3 linked regions of the Cricetulus griseus genome follow. The protein of the gene in region 2 interacts with the protein of the main gene of each other region in a biochemical or structural test. Links are inferred from orthologs where the notes say so. Each region holds a gene or a part of one and is shown on either strand. Other genes may lie near its edges.

What was found.
Region 1: the proteins of Dab2 (region 2) and Fcho2 form a complex in vitro, tested with the Homo sapiens proteins (2 studies listed by BioGRID). The link is inferred for Cricetulus griseus from reciprocal best matches to the Homo sapiens genes DAB2 and FCHO2.
Region 3: the proteins of Dab2 (region 2) and Myo6 form a complex in vitro, tested with the Homo sapiens proteins (7 studies listed by BioGRID). The link is inferred for Cricetulus griseus from reciprocal best matches to the Homo sapiens genes DAB2 and MYO6.

What each region holds. Positions count from the first base shown.
Region 1 is NC_048595.1:317,588,536-317,593,640, forward strand, and holds the start of Fcho2 (F-BAR domain only protein 2), read right to left. Parts: upstream 3,564-5,105; 5' UTR 3,444-3,563; coding exon 3,411-3,443; intron 1-3,410. UniProt on the Homo sapiens protein: Functions in an early step of clathrin-mediated endocytosis. Has both a membrane binding/bending activity and the ability to recruit proteins essential to the formation of functional clathrin-coated pits.
Region 2 is NC_048595.1:340,199,544-340,204,135, reverse strand, and holds part of Dab2 (disabled homolog 2), read right to left. Parts: intron 3,905-4,592; coding exon 3,248-3,904; intron 2,213-3,247; coding exon 2,059-2,212; intron 1-2,058. UniProt on the Homo sapiens protein: Adapter protein that functions as a clathrin-associated sorting protein (CLASP) required for clathrin-mediated endocytosis of selected cargo proteins.
Region 3 is NC_048597.1:191,082,156-191,087,339, reverse strand, and holds the start of Myo6 (unconventional myosin-VI), read right to left. Parts: upstream 3,564-5,184; 5' UTR 3,375-3,563; intron 1-3,374. UniProt on the Homo sapiens protein: Myosins are actin-based motor molecules with ATPase activity. Unconventional myosins serve in intracellular movements. Myosin 6 is a reverse-direction motor protein that moves towards the minus-end of actin filaments.

The DNA of each region.
Region 1 (5,105 bases), about 23 Mb from region 2:
ATATGAAAATGAAAGGGACCTCCAGAATATTTTTTTAAGATTTTATTTATTATGTGTTCTGCCTGCATGTATGTCTACAGGCCAGAAGAGGATATCAGATCTCATAACTGATGGTTGTGAGCCACTCACTGTGTGGTTGCTGGGAACTGAACTCAGGACCTCTGGAAGAGCAGCCAGTGCTCTTAACCTCTGAGTCATCTCTCCAGACCCCCAATTTTTTTTTTAAAGAAAAAACCTGTAGGACTTGCATATTTCCTGCTTCCTGACTCATCATACAAAGATGTACAAAACAGTATAGTAGCAACTGTCATAAAGTAGACAATAGAATAAAACTGAGAATCCAAAAATAAACCCTTCATTGATGGTCAAGTGATATTTGAAAAAGGTGCCACCAAAACACAAGAAGACTCCAAAAGAAAAAAGAAAAACCAAGATGCTAGAACAAAATAAACATACACTTGTAAAGAATGAAGCTGTATGTACCCTTTCTTTGAACAACACACAGGATTAAGTTCAAATGGATCACAGAAGGAACTAAAGAGCTGAAACTATGAAATCTTATAAGAAAACAGGACTAAGTTAGGTTACAGAAAGGCCTCTTTGGATAACAAAAGCTTGGACTTCTTGAAGGTTTCATCAAAATTAAAAACTGGACTGCAAAAGATGTTATCTGTAAGATAAAAAGACAGTTTTCAGAATGGAAAAGGTATTTCCACACCAGGTATCTGTGCATCTGGGGTCCTTGCAATGGCCTTCAGTGGTCATGGAGCTCCATGGGCCTGGTTTTCTCCTCCACTCAATTGGCCTATAAGCAGATCTACTGCTCAGGCAAGTATTTCGACAAGCACTACCTGTACCTGCAGTCATGTTACCCAGAGAACTCTCCAAGCAAGTACCAAAAACTCATCTGACATCTGAAGGATGTCCATTACATGACTCATGAGCCAAAACCACATATTCTTGTCTTTAGACAACCTCTTTCAAAAAAGTACACCTGGAGATCACCTAATCCTTTTCATGAGCTGTATTCTTCACAGAAACAGAGTTCAGTTAGCTGGGCGTTGGTAGCACACGCCTTTAATCCCAGCACTGGGGAGGCAGAGGCAGGTGGATCTCTGTGAGTTCGAGACCAGCCTAGTCTACAAGAGCTAGTTCCAGGACAGCCTCCAAAGCCAGAGAGAAACCCTGTCTCGAAAAAAAAAAAAAAAAAAAAAAAAAAAACAGAGTTCAGTTAAATGCAATACAAGGAGGTTATTTTAAGTTGTTAAAGATAATTTTCTTTTTTTTTTCTTGGTATCTGTTTTACTTTACCTGTTGCTTTTGTTAAATAAAGTTTGTATATTGCGTTAAGAAAGAAAGCGGGAGGGAGGGAGAGAGGGAGGGAGGGAGGGAATAAAGCAGGTAGGAGTATCTAAGGGTCAAGAATGGTAGTGCAAGCCTTTAATCCCAGTGCCTGGGATGCAGAGGCAGGCAATCTGTGTTCAAGACCAATCTGGTCTACATAGTGAGTTCCAGGGCAGCAAGGGCTAGGTAATTAGACCCGATCTCAAAAAACAAAAACAAAAAAGAAATGTGCACCCAGCGGTGATAATAATGGCACATACCTATATTCCCAGCATTAAGTAGGCAGAGGCAGGAGGATCAGAAAATCAGGAAACTGTCTTTAAAAAGTGGACAAGCCCACAAGTGCGCAGGGGTGTGGGGATGGGGGGGGGGAGTAATCCAGAATATAAAAAGAATTCAGTAACATAAAGGAAATAAAGATAATGTTAAAACTGGCAATGGGTCTACACAGTTATCCAAAGAAAAATACTTAAAATGGGCAATAAGAACAAGAAAAAAAGTTCAACATCATTAGCCACAGAAAAATGCAAATCAAAACCACAAGCTGCTACTTCATGTCCACCATCATACTATACCACAACAGATAACAAGTGCTGGTGAGCATATACCCGAGACACTGCAGAGCATTTGTACAGTGCCGTAACCTCTCTGACAAACAGTCCAGCAGTTGACTGAACTAGTAATACAGTTACCATCTGCTTCTTGGCCCTTTGGCTAATCAAGTGCAAATATAGTTAACCGTATGACCCAGTAAATTCCAATCCCAAAAGAAATGAAAACACATGCTCTGAGAAACGTGTATAAAAGTGTTCATAGCAGTATTACTCATAATAAACAAAGAATATTTATGATGGGTACCAAACATCCATCACTAATGAATGGGTAAGTAAAATGTGGAATGAAATATTATTTGGCCATAAAAAGGAATATTAACATGTACTATCTCATGGATTACCTTTGAAAATATTATAGTAAGTGAAATAAGCCTGACATAGGAGTCCCATTTATATGCTGAGTCCCGAAAAGGCAGATCTGTAGAAGCAGAGATATCAGTTGCCCAAGGGCTGAGGCAAGGGGCAAACTGGGAGTGTCTGCTAACCCGTACAGGATTCTTCCTGAGGTTATGAAATTGTTCTAAAATTGACTGTGGTGATGTTTGCACAAAACAATGAGGAACTCTTCATAATATGCACTTTAAATGCATACACTGTATACATGAAAAGGGAACCTCAATAAAAACCACTCTTTAAAAAAAAAAAACTACAGCATACAGATGTTTGTGGGTACCATTCGAAACAAGTAACTATGAAGTGATTGTATTATTGAGCAAGTCCGTGCTTGAGACAGAATTAAGAATCTGCCATAGCAGTGGCTGGCGTGACTGGAAGCTGACTCCTTTCAACACTTCTATACCTCACCAAAATGAAACTGAGGTATTTACATGTTTCGGGCCATTAAAAACCAGGTTCGGCCAAACTACCTGAGGAAACACGTTACTTTTCTTGCACAGGGCTGAAGCGTACTTGCCATGATCGACCAACAGTAAGTGCAGGCAAGCACTCGGCGGGCAGACGAGAGGGGTGTGGGGAGAATGAGGAAGGTCCGTGAAATCCAACTTGCAAGGGCTTTGTGAGCAGGCCTGGAGGCAAAGTCCTGGGCGCAGCCCCACGAGCCCAGCCGCGCGCCCAGGAGGAAGTGCTCAGTCCGAGCGAGCACGGACTCCGGCGGGGCCCCGGGCCTGCGCCGCGGGAAGCAGACCCCGCAGGGCGCCCGGCTCCCCGCGCCCGACGTCGCGCACGCCCCGTCGGCGCTTTGTCCCCGCCCGGCGCTGCGGGCCCTTGGAGTCCCCGCCGCAGCTCCCGGGCCGCGCTGCCAGCCCCGGCGCCCCGCGCAGCTGCCAGCCCGGAGAACCCGGTGGCCGGAGAGGCTTGGCCAACGCGGGAGCTCGGCCGGGCAGTCCCGGGCCACGGACTCTCGCTCGGCCGCCTGAAAAGCCGCCGCCCGCCGCGCACGCAGGCCGCGGGGAGAAGCAGAAGCCCGCGGTGTTCCCGACACCCTCCGCTCACCCAGAAATTCTCCACGAAATGCGCCATGACCATCGTGCCGCCGCCGCGCCGGGTTCCGCGTCCGCACCCGCCCGCCGCTGTGTAAACACGGACCGGCCTCCACGGCGCCCCCGCCTCTCGCCGCCTCCGCCGCCTTCTTCCCAGAGACCGCCCGCCGACCCTCCAAGGCGCATGCGCCCCCTAGCGGCCGCCGCCGCCGCTGGCCCAGCTCCTGGGCGCCGCGTCCCGAGTGCGCCTGCGCGCAGCCTGGCCGGGTCCGAGCGTTCGCTGGGAATGAGGCCGAACTTAGTCTGCGAGTCGCCCAGGCTGGCGGGAGCGGAGCGACCCGCAGGCCCGGGGGGCGGAGCGAGTAAGGCCCCGCCCACTCGCTCCTCCCCGTGAGTCCAGCGTCCGGGCCTTCGAGGATCTCCCAGCTTGGCAGGCTGGGAGTAAGGAAACTTGGCCGTTGGCCACCCCGAGGAGACTGGGAAACCTTTGGTCAACAGGGAGCCTTTCCTTGACTGGGAAGTAAGATCCAAAACAAAACTGTCCAAGCCCGGAAAGGGAGGAAACGCCCAGTGTCGCCTGCAAGACTCAGGCACCGCTGCGGGTCACAAGGGAGCCAGGCAGCCTGGACCGCCTGCCGCGAGCAGGCGTGACCCGAAACGCGACCCTTCCAGGCCTGTTCACAAAGCCCATGGTAATCTTACCAACTTGTACACTCAGGGAAAAAGACACAAGTTTTAACATGCCTCGCCTAATAGAGAAACTAAATCCCTTTCCATGCCTTACTTTCCAAAAGTTTAAAAAAGCAAAAACTTTAGAGGTCTCAAGTTCATTAAAGCCAGGTCAAAAAAATCTGCAAGTTTGAAGCCAAGCTCCACAAATTAATTTAGTGTAGTTTTAACTACAATATGCACACCGGTCCTCCTAAGATCTTGTTTTCTTGATTTTCCTCCCGGAAAATAAAAACCATGCGTTGTCTTTCATGTGGATGAAATGTAAAAGATAACTATATAACGGTTGTGCCTTTATAAGGATGTCCTTCATAAATATTCATGTAATGATAAGACATCTGTGACCTCAAAAGTATTTCATAAGAGTTGGGCAGAAGAATAGGGTACAGGTGAAACAAGATTGGTATCTGGGGGTTGGATGATGGGGAAATGCTGTTCTGATATACCACTTTAAAAGATTTATGAGGTTGACTGTTTTGCCTGCCTGCAATATATATACTCCATGTGTGTGCCTAGGGCCCAGTAAAGCCAGGAGAGGGTGTGGGATCCCCTTGGTACTGAAGATACAGTTGTGAACCACCATGTGGGTGTTGGAATTGAATGAATCCTCTACAAAAGAACAGTCATGCTCCTAGCCACTGAGCCATCTCTGCAATTTCTTTGTATATGTTAACTCATCTGTTTCTTTACAATAAATATTTGCTTCAGTTCTATAAGCCATCAGTCTAGTTGGATTATCCTTGATGCTGAAGATGTAAGAAAATTCTGCCAAAAGGAGTAAGAAAGTGCACTCTGCAAAAGAGGTTGACATCCAATTCTAGTATCACTGGGTACTACCCCCTTAGATGCAAGAAGGGCTCCTGAATTCTAGGTGTTAAAGACCATACATATCGTGTGTGTGTGTGTGTGTGTGTGTGTGTGTGTGTGTGTGTGTGTGTGTCTGTCTGTCTGTCTGTCTGTCTGTCTGTCTCTCTGTCTC
Region 2 (4,592 bases):
TGGAAGGAAGGAGCCATTTGGACATTCCAGCCATTCAGAAGTGTAAAAATAAATATATAAAAAGGAAGCACCCATTTACCGCCCTTCGTCCTGAACTACTTCTTTAACTCTAGTCATAGATGGTATCAATGGGAGTGCCATTTGTCAAAAAGAAAAATATTACATTTGCCAGGAAGTAAGGGCTCGATAAGGCTGCATTTGTGCCAGCCTTCATTCCCGTCTCCCAGACTCCACTCATTATGTTTCTAAAACATTTATGGTCCAGCTGGAGAAAGTAGAGGCAAGGAATGAGGAAAAAGAGAGTGCAGGCATAAAGCATTAATTTTATTACCTTTTGATGCTAGATCAAAACACAGGGTACAAGTCAAAGCCGAGGGCTCAGCTTACTGTAATGCCTTCTCCCCACACCCCCCTCCCAGATCTCAAGAGGAGACAGTCCCCCAGCTGGGTCCAGCGGAAGCCAGACCTACAACCTTCCATGGTTTGGCTGAGGATCACTGCCAATGGACAGGGGCTACACTGTGGGGCTCAGTTTGAGTTCCATGTCCAAACTTGGAAGAATCATCAGTATTCTGCAGTTGTATACCCCAAGGCCTCAACAGGGGCACATCGCCAAAAGGCTTCACTTCGTCTGAATAAATTAACAGTTATAGGGTCCAGCTGTATCTTCAGGCTGACTTGCTAAATATTGGCTGTACGAATTCTTCAAGGCACTGACATTAGACTACAGAGCTCTGGGATATGATCTAGTCACAGCCCCTGAATGCAAGTTCTCTGCCTTTCTATGGAGGAAAGACAACAGCTGCTTCCCTGTGGGTACAGGGAAAGAGCAATGCAAAAAGGAGGCTTCCAAAATGCACCACATATTTGGAGAGTCTCTCGGTGCTATCACATCGAGCCTGGCACCTATGGACTGCTCACACTCACCTGGGTTTCAGCTACTCAGCACTGGTAACAACTCCTCTCTCATCCCTACTCCGGACATGCTAAGACTTATTGTGACAGAAAGAAATTGCTCTCTTTTGCAGGGAAACAGCAAAGGAGAGAAGAAAGGAAATACAAGAAGAAAAGGGATCTTGGTGGCTGGTTCTACAGAAACTAGGAAAAGCCATGATCTCCATTCAAATCTTACCAATGGGCCAGAGAGTCCTAGTTCATCCTTGGTCCCCCACCTCCCAAGCCAGATTCTATTTGAGTTTGCACAGGAGCCAAGAAGCAAGAAACAAAGGGAATCCCCAGCAGGATGGCAAAGATTATTGTTGGGGTTTCTGAAGCCTGAAAAGGACTAGAGGCTGTGGAGGAAGAGTAACAGGACCAGACCTCAGTCAGTGTCCCTTTACCTTCATCCTGCAGCAAAAGCTCAGTGGATCCGGCAGAAATACATCTTCACCCCAGCACATCCCATTGTCTAAGGAAACACCTATGCTCCTTCTAGCTTTATCTTTGTCTAATATTTACCTCCTAGTTCTATGTAGATGCTCTTCTAGAAAAATGACTAATTATGAATTGCTAAGGGGCAAGTGTCAGGATTTGTGTCCATTCCCTGCCTACTTAGATCTAGGGGCAGAGCTGAGCCCAGAACTTAGACTTTCACTTTATGATTTAGCCTTACTTCCAGCTTAACCTACATAAGAGAGAGGATCTGAGCCCCGAAAGGAGACAGACTTCCATCTATCAAGGCAAATGGCATGGAAAGCCTGCATATCCCTACTTTTACCATGTAGACAGCACATACGGCTCTCTGGATGCATCCCCTTTACACCATCGAAACCGGTCTGACTTCAGAATCCCTTACAACTGTCTTCTGAAAGCCACTGCCAGCTGTTCAGGGACAGGAAATATTGAAAATGGACTTCTTGTCCTGTAGCGGCTCAGAGAGCCGAATTTCAGTTATTAGGCAGGAATGTCACAGGCGTGTAGGCTATGCAGGAGTAAACTCGAGGAGTGTTGCTTGAGGTCTCCCATCTGATACCCACCTCATAGGAAGTGTCTACTCCAGCGTGTCATCACTATGAGTGACATTAGCAGCCACATCTAATTCCAACTCTGGAAACATACCTAGACCTGCAAGGGGCCCCATTGGGGCAGGAGCACTTGTTTTGAAGAGATCCAAAGGGTTGGTCTGAGGGGCTGCAGGTTGTCCTGTGGGTGACGTCTGGCCTGGAGGTTCTGAGGCAAAGATGTCAGATGCAAGCAAGTCATTTGCTGAAGACTGACAAGGAGGGGAAGGAGGGAGAAGAGTTACTCAGGTTGAAGGCAAACACAGCTTCCATCTGTCTCCTACTCCTTACCCCAAAGCTAACCTCCACATAAAGGAAAAATCTTCTATTATTACTGGCAAATGATTACTTACACCAATAAATAAAAGAGCAAAGGTAAGGTGTCTGTGTGTGTGTGTGTGTGTGTGTGTGTGTGTGTGTGTGTGTGTGTGTGGTGGGGGAAGAGACGCAGATGACTGTAGTGAGCGGACTAATGGATACCACTTTGGACTTGCAAAATGAAATCTATTTTTCTCATTTTATCCTTTTATGTCAGTCTGGTCTCCTTATTGGCAAAAACTTGAAGCTGGGAAAAGGAAGGGCAACATAAGTATCCTGAATAACTTCAATCCGTTCGATCTCAATCAGTTTCAACAGAGGCAATACTACTTTGATTATTAGGTAAGACTGCACATTCCCATGAGAGCTTCTAAAAATCACCTATGGGTGCTGCACTTGGAGTCACTTTTGACTGAAGTTGGTAATAGCATTTGTGTAAGTTTCTAAGTCAATGAGTTATTAAATCAACGATTACATTTAAAAGAGGAGACAGACTTGAGAATTTTAAACCACCACCATGGACATCAGTGATGATGGGTGTCCAGGATATGTGTTAGTGTGGGGACAGGACCAAGGGAATCACAAGAACTCTCTCCCGCCCATCCCAGAACATGACAATCAAACTTACCAGAGGTACAGAAGCATAGCAGCATTAACAATGGAAAAAAAAAACAACAACTTGTGTTTAGTTTAGTATTAAGTGACAAGACATGCAAACGGAAAGCAGATGTGACAAACACTGCTGGCAAGCTTAGGAAGAATGTTGACTAGAGGGGCATATTCCTGGAGGGCCGATGTGTCTTATCCCACCTTCTATATCACAGCCACACAGGAAGCTAAAAGAGCAGCAGGGGCGAGAGCTTGCGTCACACCACCCTTTGGTACCGCGCATGCACTCTGCTAATGGGTATGTGGAAAAGACAATTCACCTTGGCAGTCCTTCTGCCTCTTCCGGGTTTGGTACTTTGTGGAGGTGGGATAATGGCTATGGAGTCATGTGCTGAGGACTGGACAGAGCTTTCCAAGTCCGGCTTTACGCCATTCGGTACCGATAGTCCTTTGGGAGGAGGGCTTTCCACAAAAGGGTTCGGGGAAGATTTGTTATGGAAGCCGTTCTGTTCTCTTTCAGATACCCCATTTTGAGTTCTCACTGCTTGCTGGGTTTGCGAACTTGGATAGGGCCACGGGCCTGCCTGAGCTTCCTGTTTGCCAGTCCGGTTAGAGATCTGGTCAAATTGCTGACCAAAGTAATCGGTATCACCGTTCAGGGGCCCTTTACTCAGCGGAGTAGACAAGCTACTCAAATTCGCTTTCTTCTGATCTGAAGATGTGAGAGAATCAAACGAAGAGGGTGCCGATTGGTCTGGCTGTGCAAAAGGATCATCACGGAAAGGATCAGGATTAGGGGTGGGAAAGAAGTTGAGATTGGCAGAAAAGGCATTTTCAGGCAAGAAGGATGCCTGAGGCTTTGGTCGAGGGAGAGAACAGGAGGTGACGCCATTTGTTAAGAATGGATTTTCTCTTAAAGAGTTCTGATTGGTGTCGATTTCAGAGTTTAGATCCACTAACAGGATATCTTTGCTTTCCTAGCACATTTGGGGAAAAAAAGAGAGAAAGAGGGAGACAGTGTTAGTCCATGTTATAACTTCAAATGAGAAAACTACATCAAAACGACAAGGATTACCAGGGTTCCTATTAGAATTTGGGACTATTACCATCTCCCATCAACTCCCTGAGTGTTTACTAGCTGGGGATTAGTTCCTTACTCAGTGAGCTATAACTTTCCATGGGGTCTGCTCTTCCTTGAGTGAAATCTTGCTAAATTCATCCTCTCCTTTGTCCATTCATTCAGATGGGCTAGGTTCATTATCTGCATTGGTTCAACTGATGCCTTTGAATTAATTGGGACTCACTGTAAATGGTTATCTGAATATACTGTTTGGACCTATGAACTGACTTCAGTAACTGGGTCCAGCTTCCTACCTGAGAAACACACAGTCCATAGTCCTTTTTCTAAAAGTCTCTAACATTACCTCTCTAAATGAGCAAATATATAGGTTAATATTCATATGTGTACCATATGTATGCATGTGTACAGTGCTGAGAATTAAACCCAGGGCTTCAAGTATCTCAAGTAAGCATTCTACCACTGAGTTACATTCCACAACTCCAGATTTCATAGTTATGGCTGTGATGAAACTTAAGGTCAACTGTATTTCTTCCCTCTGGGGGTAAACAAGATTCTCCATTATCTTGGTCAGTAGGTCTCACTCT
Region 3 (5,184 bases), on a different chromosome or scaffold from region 2:
CACACACACAAATAAATTTTCTTTAAAAATCCATGAATCATTTTCATTAAAAGACATTGATTGTATAAGCTAGGTATAATGGTATAAGCCTTTAATTACAACACTTGGGAGGAAGAGATAAGTGTATCACTGTGGGTTAGAGGTCTACACAGCCAGTGCTTCATAGTGAGACCCTACCTCAAAAAAAAAGAAAGAAAGAAGGAAGGAAGGAAGGAAAGAAAGAAAGAAAGAAAGAAAGAGAGAGAAAGAGAAAAGAAGCCAGGCGTTGGTGGTGCATGCCTTTAATACCAGCACTCAGGAGCAAAGGCCAGCCTGGTCTACAGAGTGAGTTCCAAGACAGGCTCCAAAACAATACAGAGAAACTTGTCTCAAAAAAACAAAAAACAAAAAAGAAAAGAAAATGGAGAGGAGGATGTAGCAGCAAGATGGTGAAGCAAGTGAAAAAACACTTTCCATGCAAACATGATGACCTGAGTTTGACCAAAACTGACTCCACAGAACTGTCCCCTGACTTCCACAGGTATACCATGTATATGCACACAAAAATTATATACACTAGATAGATAGATAGATAGTAGATAGATAGATAGATAGATAGATAGATAGATAGATAGATATAGATAAAATTTGTCCTGGACTAAAGATAAAACTTCCCTGATGAACTACCTACCTAGCATGAAAGTAGGTTTGATCCCAGCACCACAAACACAGGGGCAGAGCTGCAAGCCTATAATCCCTGGGCTCAGGAGATGGAGGTAGGATAACATCTTAATATTTAATTTTTAAATTACAATTATTTGCTTATGACTATGTGACATGGCATATGTGTGGAAGTCAGAGGACAATTAACAGAAGTTGTTTGTCATGAGCTCAAACTCAGGGCATCAGGGTTCCGGACAAGTGCTTTTACCTGCTGAGCCATCTCATAGTCCTGAACATCTTGAGCCTGGAGCATGTTTCAGCCCCTAAGGTTAGAGTTAATTGAATAACATTTAAGAGACAGCTACTGTATTTGGGAGCAACAATCTAACTCACATGAAGGAAAAAAAATTGAAGCTTTATCCTAAACAGAAACTTCATACACTGCTCAGCTATAATGAAATCAATCCAGGATTAGACGGCAATGTTAAATCCTATAAGCCCATCAAAATGAAAAGCACATAATACTTATTACATGCTGGAACTACACCAGAAATGATGCTACTGCATTGGGTCACTGCTCGAGGCCTTAAAGAAGAAGACAGAATTTTCAATTAGCTCCAGAGTCCATGCATGGACTATCAGCATCTTCAAATCTCCAGACCAGTTCTACAAGGGAGTCTCAATAGTTCACCAGGCAAACAGAAACCCAAGGCAAGCCCTGTTCAAACAGGGTGGGGGACTTCACTGTCAGAAGACTCCTCTGCATATCCAGAGTCTGGACTTTGCCCCTCCAAAGCCAATGCAAGTATTTACTTCTCTGAGCCTCTTGTTTTCTCCTCTATAAAACAACAAGACCATCAACCTGGAAAATTATTTTGTAAATCAAGCCTTCAGCTTGTGTGTATCACCCTGATACTAAATTGCCAGTTTATAAACTGTTGCAAAGTATCTCTTTCTGAGAATCCCCATTATACTGTGTGAGAGGTATTCAAATTGTAACATTTTTATCAATCTTTTATGTTTAAATACGATGTTTTAATACAGAAAAATGAAAATTTTGGTACCCAGGGCTTCACACATACTAGGGAGAGCTCTACCCACTGTATTGTACTTCCAAACCTGATTATTTTTAAACTGGCATTTTATGTATGCTAAGTGGAGCCTTATGTACCAGGAGAAATTTTAAAACTAGTGAATTTTTTAAAATGTGGACTGCCTATATATTCAGACCTTGCATGGTGGAAATCTTTAAAACTGTCTAAAGGCGACTGCCTTTCAGAACCCAGATACAGACCAGTTGTCTAAACAATAAATGATCCACCACAGACTCCCGGCAAAGTCACAACAGGATGACAGAAGAGCCTTTGGCCTCTCTCAGATTTCCTGGCCACTGTTATTTTAAAACTTGATCACATAAACAGGGGAAAATCCCTTTCAGATAAGCCCCTATGAACTATAATTTACCACCTTTGTTTTTAATACCTGGTGGCAGTTTCCATAAAATATCATAGTCGTTCTCTCTTCTTGCTCATGTGTCTAGATAATAGAGCATATGTATATTCTATACTACATTTAATCACAATAATCTTTTCTTAATGGTAGTATTAGGTCCCTGTCATTTACAAGTAACTTTTGAAAGTAGATACATAACTAGAAAAGAGAAGGAAAAAAAATAAGTAACAGATCACACACACAAAATAAAAACACTATGGGCAGATGAGCATCAGCCTAAAAAGACTTGTTTACCACTGTGCATGTTTACTCCTGCACAATGGAAAACCCCAAAAATGACATTTAAAAGTCAATGAGCTATTCTGAAGAGCTGCATTGTTTCTGACTCTTCCTTTGGTCCCCTTGTAACATTTTGGCTATTTCTAAAATTAATGCTAGAGGGCACTAAGGTAACTTTTTTCACTAAACATTTCCCAGTTGGAAAACCACAAGCCAAGATATCTTGAAGTTGAGTTAATTTGTACAGAAATGCTGCTGTTCGGCGGCCAACCTTTGTACCATGACCACCATCGAGACTCACATTTTATGGTGTGCAGATAGTTGCAGCTGAGCCCCAGGAGCTGTTAAAAGTCTCAAGTCGACTATATTCGAACTTCCTACAACTGTACCAGGATAGCAAACGAAACTTTTATTCAGCACATATGAGATCGCCCCAACAATGCTCCACATTAGGATTTAAACAGCCCTGCCCTACATACTTCTCGCCAGATAAAATGTAACTCTGTGTAAATATTCCAGACATAGATAACCTAAGAATGACCTTATTAAATCATTTCCTATTTAGAGATACAACCCAGAGCCAGCGTGTTTAAATTAGTTTAAGGAGTTTTGGAATTAACTAAGTTAGTTTTTTAAAAAAAATTTTCATCAACATATCCGTAAAATTCACACTCAAGATACGAGACCACTCAGGAACTAAAACTCCAGCTCCGTAGAATGCCACCATGGTCTTCGACACGGCTAAATTATTAATGGCATCATTTGATCTTTACTTCTGACAACAGACTAGTCTGTGTAGAATTTTCAGTGTGCTTCCAAAAGGAGAAAATAAAACCATCTCGCAAAGTCAGGAGAGACTCCCGGGACCGGGGACGCAGCAGCGTCAGATGACAGGCACCCCGCCGGCCCGGGCAAGGGAAGCCAGAGCTCCGGTCTGAGCCCGGCCGGGAGCAGAGGCCAAGGCGACAAGGACAGGCGGGCGTGCAGGCGCCCACACTCACCCGGGGAGGCAGGTGCGCGAGGACCACGGAGAGGCTGCGGGGCTGCGGGCGCGAAGGGAGAGCGCGACGCCGCGGCGGAGAGCGAGCACCGGAGACGACGACCGCCGGGATTCGCTTCCTGCTAGGACAGATCCCGGATCGGTCTCCGCCCGCTGGCCGGAGCCCTGCTGAGTGCCCAGCCTGCAGCGTACGTCACTGCTACGGAGCGCCCAAGGGGGCGGGAGGCGGGGCGGAGGCGGGACTTAGTGGGAGAGGGGCGGGGCGGCTGGAGAAAGGGCGGGTCTTCATGCGCAAGAGGCGGGGGCAGCCTAAGGGGCGGGGCCTCAAGACTCGAGGGCTGAGAGGGGAGGAGTCCAAGGGAGGAGGAGGGGGCGGACCGGCAAGGCGCGGGGTCTTAGGAGTGAAGGAACCGAGGGGCGAAGCCTGAAGACGTGTGGTGGGGGGTACGTGGGCGCGACTGCTAAGAGCGGGGTCCCTGGACGCCCTGGCGGGCGGACTGGGAGGGGAGGCCTGGCAGAGCCAGTGCTGAGTGGGGCGTGGCCTCAGGACTCCCGAATGCGGAGCTGGAAAAGGGCGGGGCTTAATGACTTGCAGCCTGGGAAGGGCGGGGCTTCATGGCTGGGAAGCAGCCCAGAACCGAGACACTGGGTGCATCCCTGCTAGGAGCATGCTACAGGTGGCCACACTAAGTTCCCTTCGTCCCAGTCGTGGTTGTTTCCAGTCCCGCAGCGCAGGTCCTGTGGATCTGCACCGCAGAGTCAGCTGGAGGAAATTTGAGTCAGTGGGGACAGGCGTTTTGCAGAGGGACTCACATGCGGTCTCTAGGTGGCAACCAGGCCTGTGCTCCCCACGCAGCTCTTCACCTGCCTGCGTCAACTTCCTGTTCGGCCTTTGGAGGATTGGACCGCGGAAGGAAGTTTTCCCTGCCGTGGCTGGCCTCCCACGATGTCATATTGACTTCTTAGAGCCCCTGTACTCCTACCCCGCCCCTTTTGTTGTTTATTCGGACTCTTGAGAATCTCAGTGGATAACCAGGCTGCCTGGGAACTTGCCATGTAGCCTGGGCTAGCCTCGAAATAATGATAATCCTTTGTGGGCTGGTTTTATAGGATTAAATAAACTTACCCGCTTTATCTTTCTAATTGTTTAATTTTACTTTCTTTATAAGGTCATATGAGTCATCTTTTTTAGATTAAAAACTACATTCCCATGCAAATTTGAAACATCGCCTTTATAAGGAAAAGAAGCTACTAAGAAAACAAAATAAGGAGCTGGCAAGATGTTTCAGCCAGTAAGGATACTTGCAGTAAGGACACGTGCAGCCCAGCCTGAAGCCCAGCTTTCGATCCCCAGAACCCACACGGTTGAACTTACTACTCAAATTGTCCTCTGAACACAGGGGCTCTAAACACTTGGACACTGTCTGGACAATTCTTAGAGAAGACAAGTTTCACGTGTTCAAACTGGGCCTCATACTTGTGATTCCAGATACTCAGGAGGATGCAAGTTCAATCCACACCATCACAAAAATGGTGGGGGAGGGTCAGACACGCAGAGAGGATACAGTTGGTGGGATGAAAAAGCAGGGTGGTGGTGGCACATGTCTTTAAATCCCAGCACTCAGGAGGCAGAGGCAGACGGATCTCTGAGTTCCAGGCCAGCGTGGTCTACAGAGTGAGTTCCAGGACAACCAAGGCTACACAGAGAGACCTGCCTGTCTTGAAGGGAAAAAAGAGAAAAGAAAGAAAAAAGTAAAAGCTACCTTTCAGTGAGAACATTTCAAATCCATAAAAAGTAAGTAAAAGTGGGG